2 linked regions of the Arabidopsis thaliana genome follow. The protein of the gene in region 2 interacts with the protein of the main gene of each other region in a pairwise test. Each region holds a gene or a part of one and is shown on either strand. Other genes may lie near its edges.

Evidence for each region.
Region 1: the proteins of AT2G40650 (region 2) and SR45a interact in a two-hybrid assay, tested with the Arabidopsis thaliana proteins (one study listed by BioGRID).

The regions. Positions count from the first base shown.
Region 1 is NC_003070.9:2,256,870-2,262,262, reverse strand, and holds SR45a (RNA-binding (RRM/RBD/RNP motifs) family protein), read left to right. Parts: upstream 1-2,075; 5' UTR 2,076-2,161; coding exon 2,162-2,251; intron 2,252-2,676; coding exon 2,677-2,777; intron 2,778-2,877; coding exon 2,878-2,986; intron 2,987-3,110; coding exon 3,111-3,260; coding exon of another isoform or gene 3,261-3,512; exon of another isoform or gene 3,513-3,660; coding exon 3,661-3,724; intron 3,725-3,815; coding exon 3,816-4,275; intron 4,276-4,356; coding exon 4,357-4,531; 3' UTR 4,532-4,869; downstream 4,870-5,393. Other genes in the region: MAC5A (CCCH-type zinc fingerfamily protein with RNA-binding domain-containing protein), read left to right, coding at 1-178, 300-523, 855-1,701. UniProt on the Arabidopsis thaliana protein: Probable splicing factor involved in constitutive and/or alternative splicing events. May bridge the 5' and 3' components of the spliceosome.
Region 2 is NC_003071.7:16,962,480-16,967,754, forward strand, and holds AT2G40650 (PRP38 family protein), read right to left. Parts: upstream 3,320-5,275; 5' UTR 3,118-3,319; coding exon 2,828-3,117; intron 2,633-2,827; coding exon 2,511-2,632; intron 2,421-2,510; coding exon 2,330-2,420; intron 2,240-2,329; coding exon 2,119-2,239; intron 2,024-2,118; coding exon 1,950-2,023; intron 1,479-1,949; coding exon 1,109-1,478; 3' UTR 807-1,108; downstream 1-806. Other genes in the region: AT2G40640 (RING/U-box superfamily protein), read right to left, coding at 1-218, 314-719; AT2G40660 (Nucleic acid-binding, OB-fold-like protein), read left to right, coding at 3,532-3,594, 3,890-3,988, 4,203-4,373, 4,528-4,593, 4,790-4,855, 4,981-5,103, 5,196-5,275. UniProt on the Arabidopsis thaliana protein: Probably required for the first pre-mRNA cleavage reaction catalyzed by the spliceosome.

The sequences.
Region 1 (5,393 bases), on a different chromosome or scaffold from region 2:
AACCGAAATTTGTCAGACTTGCTGCAAGTTGAAAAATGTTTGTCAAGTCTGTCTTCTGGATCTTGAGTATGGTCTTCCAGTTCAAGTAAGAGACACAGCACTCAACATTAGTACTCATGACTCTATCCCTAAAAGTGATGTCAACAGAGAGTATTTTGCTGAAGAGCATGACAGGAAGGTATGATCATGTTCACACTCACGATTTTATTTCAGCATTTGTTGGTTTGAGAATTTTGAAGACTTACTCTAGCTTTCTCATGGTGGCTTATCTAAGTGATTTTGCTTTTTCTGTTATGTAGGCTAGAGCTGGACTGGATTATGAATCTTCATTCGGGAAGATGCGACCCAATGATACTATTTTAAAGCTTCAAAGAACAACACCGTACTATAAGAGGAACCGAGCACATGTTTGTAGTTTCTTCATCAGGGGTGAGTGTACAAGAGGTGCTGAATGTCCATACCGGCATGAGATGCCCGAAACAGGAGAGCTATCCCAGCAAAACATAAAAGACCGTTATTATGGGTAAGCTTTTTTCTTCTGTATGTTTGACTTTGTTGACGTTTAGTTCCGTTCTTTATTGGTTGTTTCGATACCTCCCCTAAGGAGTGTAAAATTTCATATGTTTCTGCCATAGTACTATTTTCTCCTTGATCATTCATAATATACTCGATATTTGAAAGCTTCTGATATGTGAATTCTTGGACTGAACTATGCTATGTTGGCTCTCATGTAGTCTTGTTACATAGTGTCGTTTCCAGTTTTAGTTCTCTTTGTAATGTATTAGTACTTTTGCATTTATTCTTGTTGAAGAGTTTGTTTTAACTGTTTCTCATTTTCTTTTACACGTTTTCAGTGTTAATGATCCAGTTGCTATGAAGTTGCTTGGCAAAGCTGGTGAGATGGGCACTTTGGAATCGCCAGACGATGAAAGCATCAAAACCCTTTACGTCGGTGGACTTAACTCGAGAATTCTCGAGCAGGACATACGAGACCAATTCTACGCTCATGGAGAAATTGAATCTATCAGAATCTTGGCCGATAAAGCCTGTGCATTTGTCACATACACAAGCCGTGAAGGTGCAGAGAAGGCTGCGCAAGAGCTCTCCAACAGGCTAGTCATCAACGGTCAGAGGCTAAAACTCACATGGGGAAGACCCAAACCTGATCAAGATGGTGCAAACCAACAGGGCGGTGTGGCTCATAGTGGGTTACTACCTCGAGCCGTTATATCTCAGCAGCACAATCAACCCCCACCAATGCAGCAGTACTATATGCACCCACCACCAGCTAACCAAGACAAACCTTATTACCCATCAATGGACCCACAGAGAATGGGTGCAGTCATTTCAACCCAAGAGGCTGGTGGTTCAAGCACTGAGAACAACGGAGCTTCATCTTCTTCTTACATGATGCCTCCACACCAGTCATACCCACCACCACCATATGGATATATGCCATCGCCTTACCAGCAGCAGTATCCTCCTAACCATCATCATCAACCTAGTCCTATGCAGCACTATGCCCCGCCTCCAGCAGCTTACCCGTACCCACAGCAACCTGGTCCTGGATCAAGACCTGCACCGTCTCCAACCGCGGTCTCTGCTATATCACCCGACTCTGCACCTGCTGGGTCTGGAGCACCTTCGGGATCCTCTCAACAAGCTCCTGATGTTTCTACAGCTACTGGTTCGTCTCAGTAGAGAAGAAATATCGCTTAAAAAATGTACTGCAAGTTTCCCGCTATTCAGGACGAAGGTTTTTTGTATTCTGAATGAATCATTTTCTTCTGCTTTTTAAAGTACTTCGGAATGTATTGTTTCTTCAAAACGGTTGTTAACGAAATCTATCAGTTATAGAGGCAATTGGTTCCATGAAGAGTCTGCAGTTATTGGCCAATTTCATAAAGAACTTTGAGAATATTATTATCACAAATTTCACATTTGCTCGAATCGTTTATTTTTTTTTGAGAATTCTACTAGTAATTTGGATAAATGCAAATAATCTGGGAAATACAATTGGGCCTTTTGTGAGAAGAAAAATCGTATAAAGCTGGGCCGGACGCCAAACTGAAAAATGTGATGGAATTTTTAAAATTCAATCGCGTCCGACTTTCCCGAAGCTTCTTTCTAAATCCTCTCTACATATATTCCCCACTCATATATGGGGAAACGTGAAATTCATTTTACTCCGGTGGGTCGTCAGGTGCAGAGAGTTCTGGAATATCCATTGCGCTTGGAGAATCGTTCGCCGGTAATTTGCTTCATCGATTGTATTATCCTTCGTTTTTTAGTTTCCGATTTAGAGCCGTTTTACAGAGTTGTTTTCGAAATTCTGTGGAACTATCGTCTTTTAGGTGTTGTTAGATCTGAATCGTTGCTGTAAATTTCGATGTGCTTAAGCTTGATTCTAGACTTGTAAGGAAAATAACTAGATAGATGTCAGCATTTATATCATGTGATCGAGTATGATGAAGTTCTTAAATCTTGTTTTATGTGGAAGTTGATTATTAAGAATAAGATAATTATGTCGTCTTCATATTACAATAGCTTAAAATTTGAATTGTTCTTGTAGATTTTGTGATTTTGTGGTTCGATTTAGCATGTTCATATAAGTTTAGACAATACACTTGAAGCTAATAAGAGTCTTAATTCTTTAATTGTTCTATTTTCTTGTAGATGTCTTACTCAAGAAGGTCAAGATACTCTCCTTCACTATCTCCTTATGACAAGCGTCGTGGAAGGTCTGTGTCAAGGTCATTGTCTAGAAGCCCGACGAGGTATTTGTCTTATTCTTAGGTTTGAGTTGTCGTGACTTGATGTTTGCTGCTTTTGAATGCGCTAATGTCTGATTGTTTTAAATCGCTTTTGTTACATTAGGAGTGTCTCAAGCGATGCTGAGAATCCTGGTAACAGTTTATATGTAACTGGATTGTCTCACCGGGTTACTGAAAGAGATCTGGAGGATCATTTCGCTAAAGAAGGAAAGGTTGTGGATGTTATCTTTAATTTTGAACACAATTCAGTTTCGAGTAGCTCACTAGTGTATAATGTTTAAAGAGAAATTTGTTTGTTCATGAGTTTTAACATTTGTGAGCTTTTGATATTTCTAGGTAACTGATGTTCACCTTGTCCTGGACCCATGGACTAGAGAATCTCGCGGATTTGGTTTTATCTCTATGAAAAGTGTTGGTGATGCTAACCGTTGCATCAGATCTCTAGATCACTCTGTTCTGCAGGGCCGCGTCATCACTGTTGAGAAGGTAAAAAGACTAATCACTAGTGATTCCTTCTATAGAACCATAAAGAATATGATCTGGCCGAAGCTGATATTGATATATGCAATTACTAGGCACTTTGATATTGATTTTTTCTTCTCTTTTAAAATATTTAAGTTGTTTGCTTGTTTCCACTTTCAAGTTTCTGTGGCAGCAGGTCTGCTGTTTGTAGCAGCAGTGCTTCACCAAATAGCAAACGTTGCAACAGTTCAAACACATCAAGTTTCAGACATTTAGGGTTGTATGCCCTGCATTTCTCTCTTTCTTGAACAATTTAATATTCCGTCCTTTAGTAGCTTCAATATAGGAATGTTGTTTTTGTCGTGTTTCCTGTTTCATTGATGAATGTCTGACAGATCTGTGATATCTCTGGTTTTCTGTTCAGGCAAGACGTCGTAGAGGACGTACTCCAACTCCAGGAAAGTACTTGGGGCTGAGAACTGCTCGAGGTATGACATCAATTGTATTGGTTTTGTCACAATTCCGTAGTCGGTGTTTCCTGATTTTACCTTAACATGGTTTTGTTTCTTCCCTTTGCAGGACGACATAAGTCTCCTAGCTACTCTCCCCGCAGGTCTGTTAGCTGCTCTCGTAGTCGTAGTCGAAGCTACTCATCTGATCGGGGCAGATCTTATTCTCCAAGCTATGGGAGAAGAGGAAGGTCATCCTCGTACTCACCCTTCTATCGACGACGCAGATTCTACTCTCCTTCGAGATCTCCTTCACCTGATGATCGTTACAACAGGAGACGCGACAGATCATACTCACCTTACTACAGGCGGAGGGACCGGTCCAGATCCTACTCACGTAACTGTAGAGCACGGGACAGATCACCTTACTACATGCGGAGGTACAGGTCCAGATCCAGGTCATACTCGCCTCGCTACAGAGCACGTGACCGATCATGCTCACCCTACTACAGGGGAAGAGACCGGTCTTATTCACCCCACTACCAAGGGAGAGACAGATCCTACTCACCTGAAAGTCGTTACTACAGAAGGTATGGTGGCGGTCAACATAAATAAACAGATCAGCTGAAACTGCTTAGTATTGTTGTTTCTGAAAATACGTATGAAATCAGGCACAGGTCGGTATCGGGAAGCGTAAGCCCTGGAGGGAGAAGCATGTCACGTAGCATATCCCCAAGGAAGGGAAGGAAAGAGAGCAGAAGCAAGTCTCGGAGGCACGACAGGCAATCTTCAATGTGTCATTCGAGGAGCGCAAGATCAAGCACCTCCAGATCCGTCAGCCCATAACAGTCTCTACTTACTTGAAGTTGACATCAATCACTCACGTCTGTTGTTGTATTAAGCATTTTGGGACTTGTCTATTCCTTGTATTTGGAATTGATGACAGTACGTATGTTATGTTGGTTTGGTGTTAGGATACTTTATTACTTCTGTGGAAATGTTGCTTTGGCGACGAGTCGTGAGAGAAATGGAATCTCTTCTTTGTTACAAAAAATCTATTTTCATGTCTTTCTACTCCAACAAATTTCTGTTGTTGTATAATTGTTCCACTTACTTTTCCAACTTTTTTTCATAATCAATAGACGATTTTCAGAAATATCAACTTTTAGGGATGGACTCATTACTCACTTTGTGGCATTCTTCTTTCAATGTTGTTGTATTTTTAAAACAAAATTTTGTTTTAATTTTTTTTTTTACTTTGTCTTAGCTCAAATTATCAAAACAATAAAAAATTGTCTTAACCTTTTTCTGTTTTTCAACATTTTACTTAATTATATGTAAAACAAATTTACGTTTCTTTCCCTCTGAATTATTTTCTAGTTATATTTTGTATTTCATACACCTATGTGTAAGTGGTATAAAGAGTAAATTTAACTTCTTCTTCTTTTCAACAAGAGTAAATTTAACTTTAAAACTAAAAATTACATGATTTTATTAGTGATATATATAGTTGTTTTTGAATAGTTAATATAGATTATATTGATATGCACAAATCTCTTAGTGATTTGTCCCACTTTATTAGGAATCTTAAAAACTGAAGTTCGAGAATATTGTCGTTTGCTTAGACAATTCAATCCCCAAACTATAATTGTGCCTGATTATTTGAATACCAGAACTGAAAATATTAAACTTCTCCAACTGATTGATA
Region 2 (5,275 bases):
ATCAGAGAGGATGGCCTTGAGAGACTCCCAAGAGCTGACACTAGTAGTAGTGACTCTCTCCTTCTCCACAGAAGCAAAATCTCGCTTTTGTTGCGTGTTACGGTGGGAATTAGATACGTTACCATCTGGTTTAGTGATCCTCACCTTAAACTCCATTTCATGTCGATCAATCGTTGAATTACCTTCCCCATCTTCTCTCACAACCAGTTCCCAACCAACTGAGCTTAAGTAAAACCAAAGAATTTTTCGTTAGCTTCAACAATCTTGGAATCTCCGGTAGTCGTGAAAGAAGTAATGTAGAGTATTATTATACCTGGATTTTTACTTTCTCTGTTGGTTTCTTCAGCTGCAGCAGAATCATAATTGTTACCGGAATCAATACCAGGCTGAATCAGAGCAGTTCGTCTTCGGATAGAAACGTCGTACTCTTCATCATCTCCATCGGAATACATGGTTTCATCTTTCTCAATTCTATTTCCGCAGAAACCTTGCTGGGTTCTGAAATGGCGATCGCCGACGGTTTCGAGCTCCCGGATCTTAGTACCTGAATCTCCCACACGGAAACGCAAAGATTCATCTTCAACGTGGAATACGAACCGAGGATCGATACTGTCGTTAACGGACATTTGCTTTTCCGCCGGAAAATTCAGAAGGCGATCGATAGAGACTGGAAGAGCACAGAGAGAGAGTTTAAAACGACGTCGTCGTAAGTGGGACATGAGTAGCACGCGCGTCGTGATGGTTAATGATTATGAAACCGTATCATTTACCTATAAGCTTTTGGTGGGTCCGATTTACATGGACTCATAAAGTGATATCGCCACGTAGACATAACATATAGGTTTTTATATTTATCTGAATTACCTTAAAAACAACTAATATCAAGAACCGGGTTACATTCAGAATTTCTCGACCACAATTCGTTTACGGTTTAGAGAACATACAGTACAATGCCATTACAGATTCTCCATTTTGTTCTACATTAAAGAGGGATCAGGTAAACTCAAAAAAACCAAAACTATAGTGAGTAGGATCACAGTGTAGTAACCGGTTTAGCTGGGCAAATGAACCAAGTTTCGGTTTGATAAAGATGTCCTCATTTCACAGTTCAGTCCCTGAGGGGTTTCATTCCCAGTGATGCTCTCAGTCTATTCATCTCTGCAATTTCAGGATTTGGATGATCGGTTCCATCTTCCTTCATCTTCTCCTTCTTTTCTTTCTTTTTCTTAGGTTCTTCCCGATCCCGCACATCATCAGTTTCATGTCTCTTACGATCCCTACTCCTGCTTCTACTTCTGCGCCTTGCCCTGTCTCTTCTGTCTCGTTCTCTATCTCTGCCTCTTTCCCTGTCCCTATCTCGCTCTCTATAGTGATCCCTGTCTCTCTCCCTATCCCGGTCTCGACCATGCCCACGTTCTCTTTCATAGTCTCTGTCATGATCTCGATCCATATCATAGTCTCTGTCATAATCACGATCCCTGCCAATCACAGAACCATGGTCAAATTATAATTCATGAAACAATGAGCTCAAGTCTCAACATCAATCATAATGAAAATCTGTAACAAAAAGAAAACATTGATTGAGCTAAAAACTAGATGGGAAGTGCTCTCATGATTAACTGATCTTTTTCAAAGTAACACAATGACAACTACCATATACTGTATCAGGGTAAGGATTGTAATAATGTCTGATCCATAATACTTCTCTCTGAACACTGTCAGTACAGAGAAACCTGGAAGGATCTCTACAAATTTAATTTCGGAAGCTGTATCCAACCGCTGATGGCTTGAGATGCCATAGTGGAAACAGACACTCAAAAGACAGAGTACTAGACATGATGCAAGAGCATTAGCTAGATCAAACAGCTTCCACAATCACAAAGAATTTTTTTTTGAAAAATGTTAACTAGCATAGAAATGTATCTAGTAAAGGTCACGGATTCAGATACCTGTGTCTATGACTGTCGCGTCTCCTGTCTCTGTCTCTTTCTCTTTCTCTTTCAGGACTCTTACGGCGCTGATCCTGTAAAAGAGGAGGAAGATGGTATCATCTTAGAGCTGCTAGATAGAAACAGAAAACAGATCACATAAAAACTATTGCAGAATGAAAGCACTGACCATCTCATCTTCAGATCCATCAGCAATCCCTTCATTCTCCTCCTTTTCTTCCTCTTCTTCAAAGTCGTCTTCCAAAACACTTTTCCTTGGCTCTAATAAACCATTCTGTTCAAGCGTCCACCTATCATCAGAGTGAAAAATTAACCATCTTAAAATACTGCAGAAACCAAAAACTAATTATTCAGCTTCAGACAAATGCAAAAGAAGAAACCTTTTCTTCAAACGTGGCATTGCAATATCACAAGAATAATCCTTGGTTAGAAGTTCCTCAATGACTTCGTCCACATGTGTCAGCGAAAACTCTATTCCAAACCAAAGAAATAAATCTAGTTAGTGAACAAATCAATCAAAAGTTAAACACAACGGATCCATCGAAAGAAAATGAAACTTACTCCCATCAGATAACTTTTGTCTCACTTTCCGGTAGTCATTGTAGAGAGGTTCGAGGTAGCGATAGACATCAACATCAGTCCCAGTGAGACGCAGATAGAACGCACCAAGAATACGAACATATCTGCAGAAACCAAAAGAGTAAATATTTCAGTAATTCAAGAACAAATATCTGCAGAAACTAAGAGAGTAGATTATCTAAGACCAATAGATTTGAGAGACATTCCATACCTGTATACTTGAGAAACAACTACGACAAGGCTAATAGCAGTATCCAATCTAGATTACGCAGAAATAAGCTTTTGGTTAGAAATCTTACTTGTAGTCATCATTTTTTATGAACTCCACGACAATTTCCTTCTCAGGCTGGATTTGAAGCATCTTCAATATGAGGCAAAGGAACGGAGTAGGCTTGCGGCTACCACCAAAGGTACCACCTAGATGGTCGAGCTCCATAGCTTTGTCCACCAATGTCTCCGCCGTGAGACCAAAGCACTGCTCCTTCCAAAAGGTGTGCTGATAAATCTTCGTTCGCACAATCTTCTCTACCAGATTCTGCGGATTCGTTCCTCTTATATTCTTTGCCAACGGATCTGTTCTGTTTGCCATTATCGCCTGAAGTTAATCAGAAACTGCCTCAAAGGCCTAGTCGTCGGAATAATAAACGTCGAGCGACGCCGCTTCAGTGAAGCCGGAATCGATGAAACAGCTTCCACGAATTTGCCGTCGTCGAAGACGAAGACACTCTAGGTCTTTGAAGAATCTGAGAAGTTAATTCATTTATTTTATTTTATTAATGATTGCTTTCGGTGGTAAAGCCCATAGTAAGAACATATTAATGGGCTGCTAATATATCTAGGCCCATTATAGATGGAGATAACGCCGTTAGTTGGAAGTCCGTTAGGACCGTTAGTTACATCAAGCAAAAACCCTATCGAAGAAATTGCAGTGTGTTTTCTTACAGCGAAGAGCCCCAAAGAGAAGAACAAAATTTCGAAAATAGAGAAAGAGAAGAAGTTGACGATGGATTCAAAGGCGAAGCAGATGATTCTTTCAGCTCTCTGCAAACACTTCTCTTTGGATCCTGTAAGTATTGAAGAAGATGACATCTCAAAAGCTTCTGCTTTTTTGTGAGGTTTTGCTTGGTAGCTGAGTATGTGTATGATCATTTTTTGAATTAGTTAGTGGAGAAAACTCGAACATTATCTGATTGGGTACTGAAATCAATTAGAAAGTTTATGTTTTGGACTTATCAGTGTTTACGCTTATGCATCAAGCTGGTCATGAAAAAGGAAAAAACTTTAGAAATTGGCTTTTATGATTTTACATTGTGATGATTTATTGGTTCTGTTTCTGAAATTGATTTGATTCATTTGTTTAGGAACCTTTTGTGGGCGGAGCGGGTGAAAGTGATATCAAGACACTTTATTCTAATGTATTGAAGGCATCTGGAAAGGAAGTATCTGCACAAAACAACGATGTAAGTCGTTTCTTCTTGAATTTGGTTCCTATAGACATAAACGCCAAACTCTTACTGGGAATTTATTGAGTTCCCTTCTCGTTGCTACCACGTTAGAAAAAAAATGAATTAGTATGTTTGAGTTCTGTGTAATGCTAAATGATGAGGATTCGTTGGCTTTCGTTTGCATAATGCGTCATTGTTTCACATTTTAAAGAGTAAAAACCTATTTCAGGTTTTGAAGTGGCTAGATTTTGCGGAAGGTTTCTCTTCAGATTCAAAGGATTGGTTTTCAGCTCTTGAAAAGTTGAATTTAGAGTTAGCTACCAAGTCAGTGCTCTTGGGAAACGGATTGACGCCATCGGCAGCTGATGTTGCTGTGTTTTCAGCTCTGCATTCTTCAGTGGTACCACTTCTCTATATTCCGTAGTCTACTTATTTTTCGTTCCTGTATAAGTAATTTTATGTTACTTGATAAAGATGCTACGATCAAATTTTCATAAACTGATGACTAAAGGTATTAAATACTAACTGTTATCTGTTTGACTTGCTGTTCCCAGCTTGGCCTCTCAGATTCAGACAAGGAGAAAGTACCACATGTCATAAGATGGGTGAATTACATCCAGGTAAGTTCGACATCATAAAGTTTTGTTACTTGATTGCGCCGAGGTAGCCTGTAAATCCATGGAGGACTACTTTATGTGTACGCGTAACGGCGTTAGTGACTATAGCTAGATATGCACTCTCTGAACATCACCTTTCACATTTTTCTTTCCTTGTGATTGTCTGCTTTACGAATATATGCTGCGTATTATTTTACAGAATAAAGAAGAGTTGTCGACATTATTTGCACCAATACCTGTGAAGCTACCAGAATTTAGCTTCGAGGTGAATTATCTTTTCATACCCATTTTCTTAGACTGAGAAACAATAATAACATGCTACTTTTTTCAGATGTATTACATGCGATGAGAAAATGGTTTTCTGATCTTTTTCATTTATTCTAAACGTAGGTACCAAAACCTGCCATTAAGGTGGAAACAAATTCTAATTCAAAAAAAGCTGCAGAAGGTGTAAAGCCTGTTGACAAGCCAGATGTGCAGCCGCAGCTGGGCACAAAGAAAACTGAGCCAGAGGTACTTATTTTAACTTTTAAGTTTGATTTCAATGACTGTGAGTCTCTTTAATTAGTTGAATCTGGTGTTCTCCTCTGTCCTTTTTCGTGTAGGAACCAAAGAAAAATGCAGCAAAAGAGAAGGATGCCAAAAAGGAAAAGAAGAAGCCTGCTGAACCAGAACCAGCTAAGAA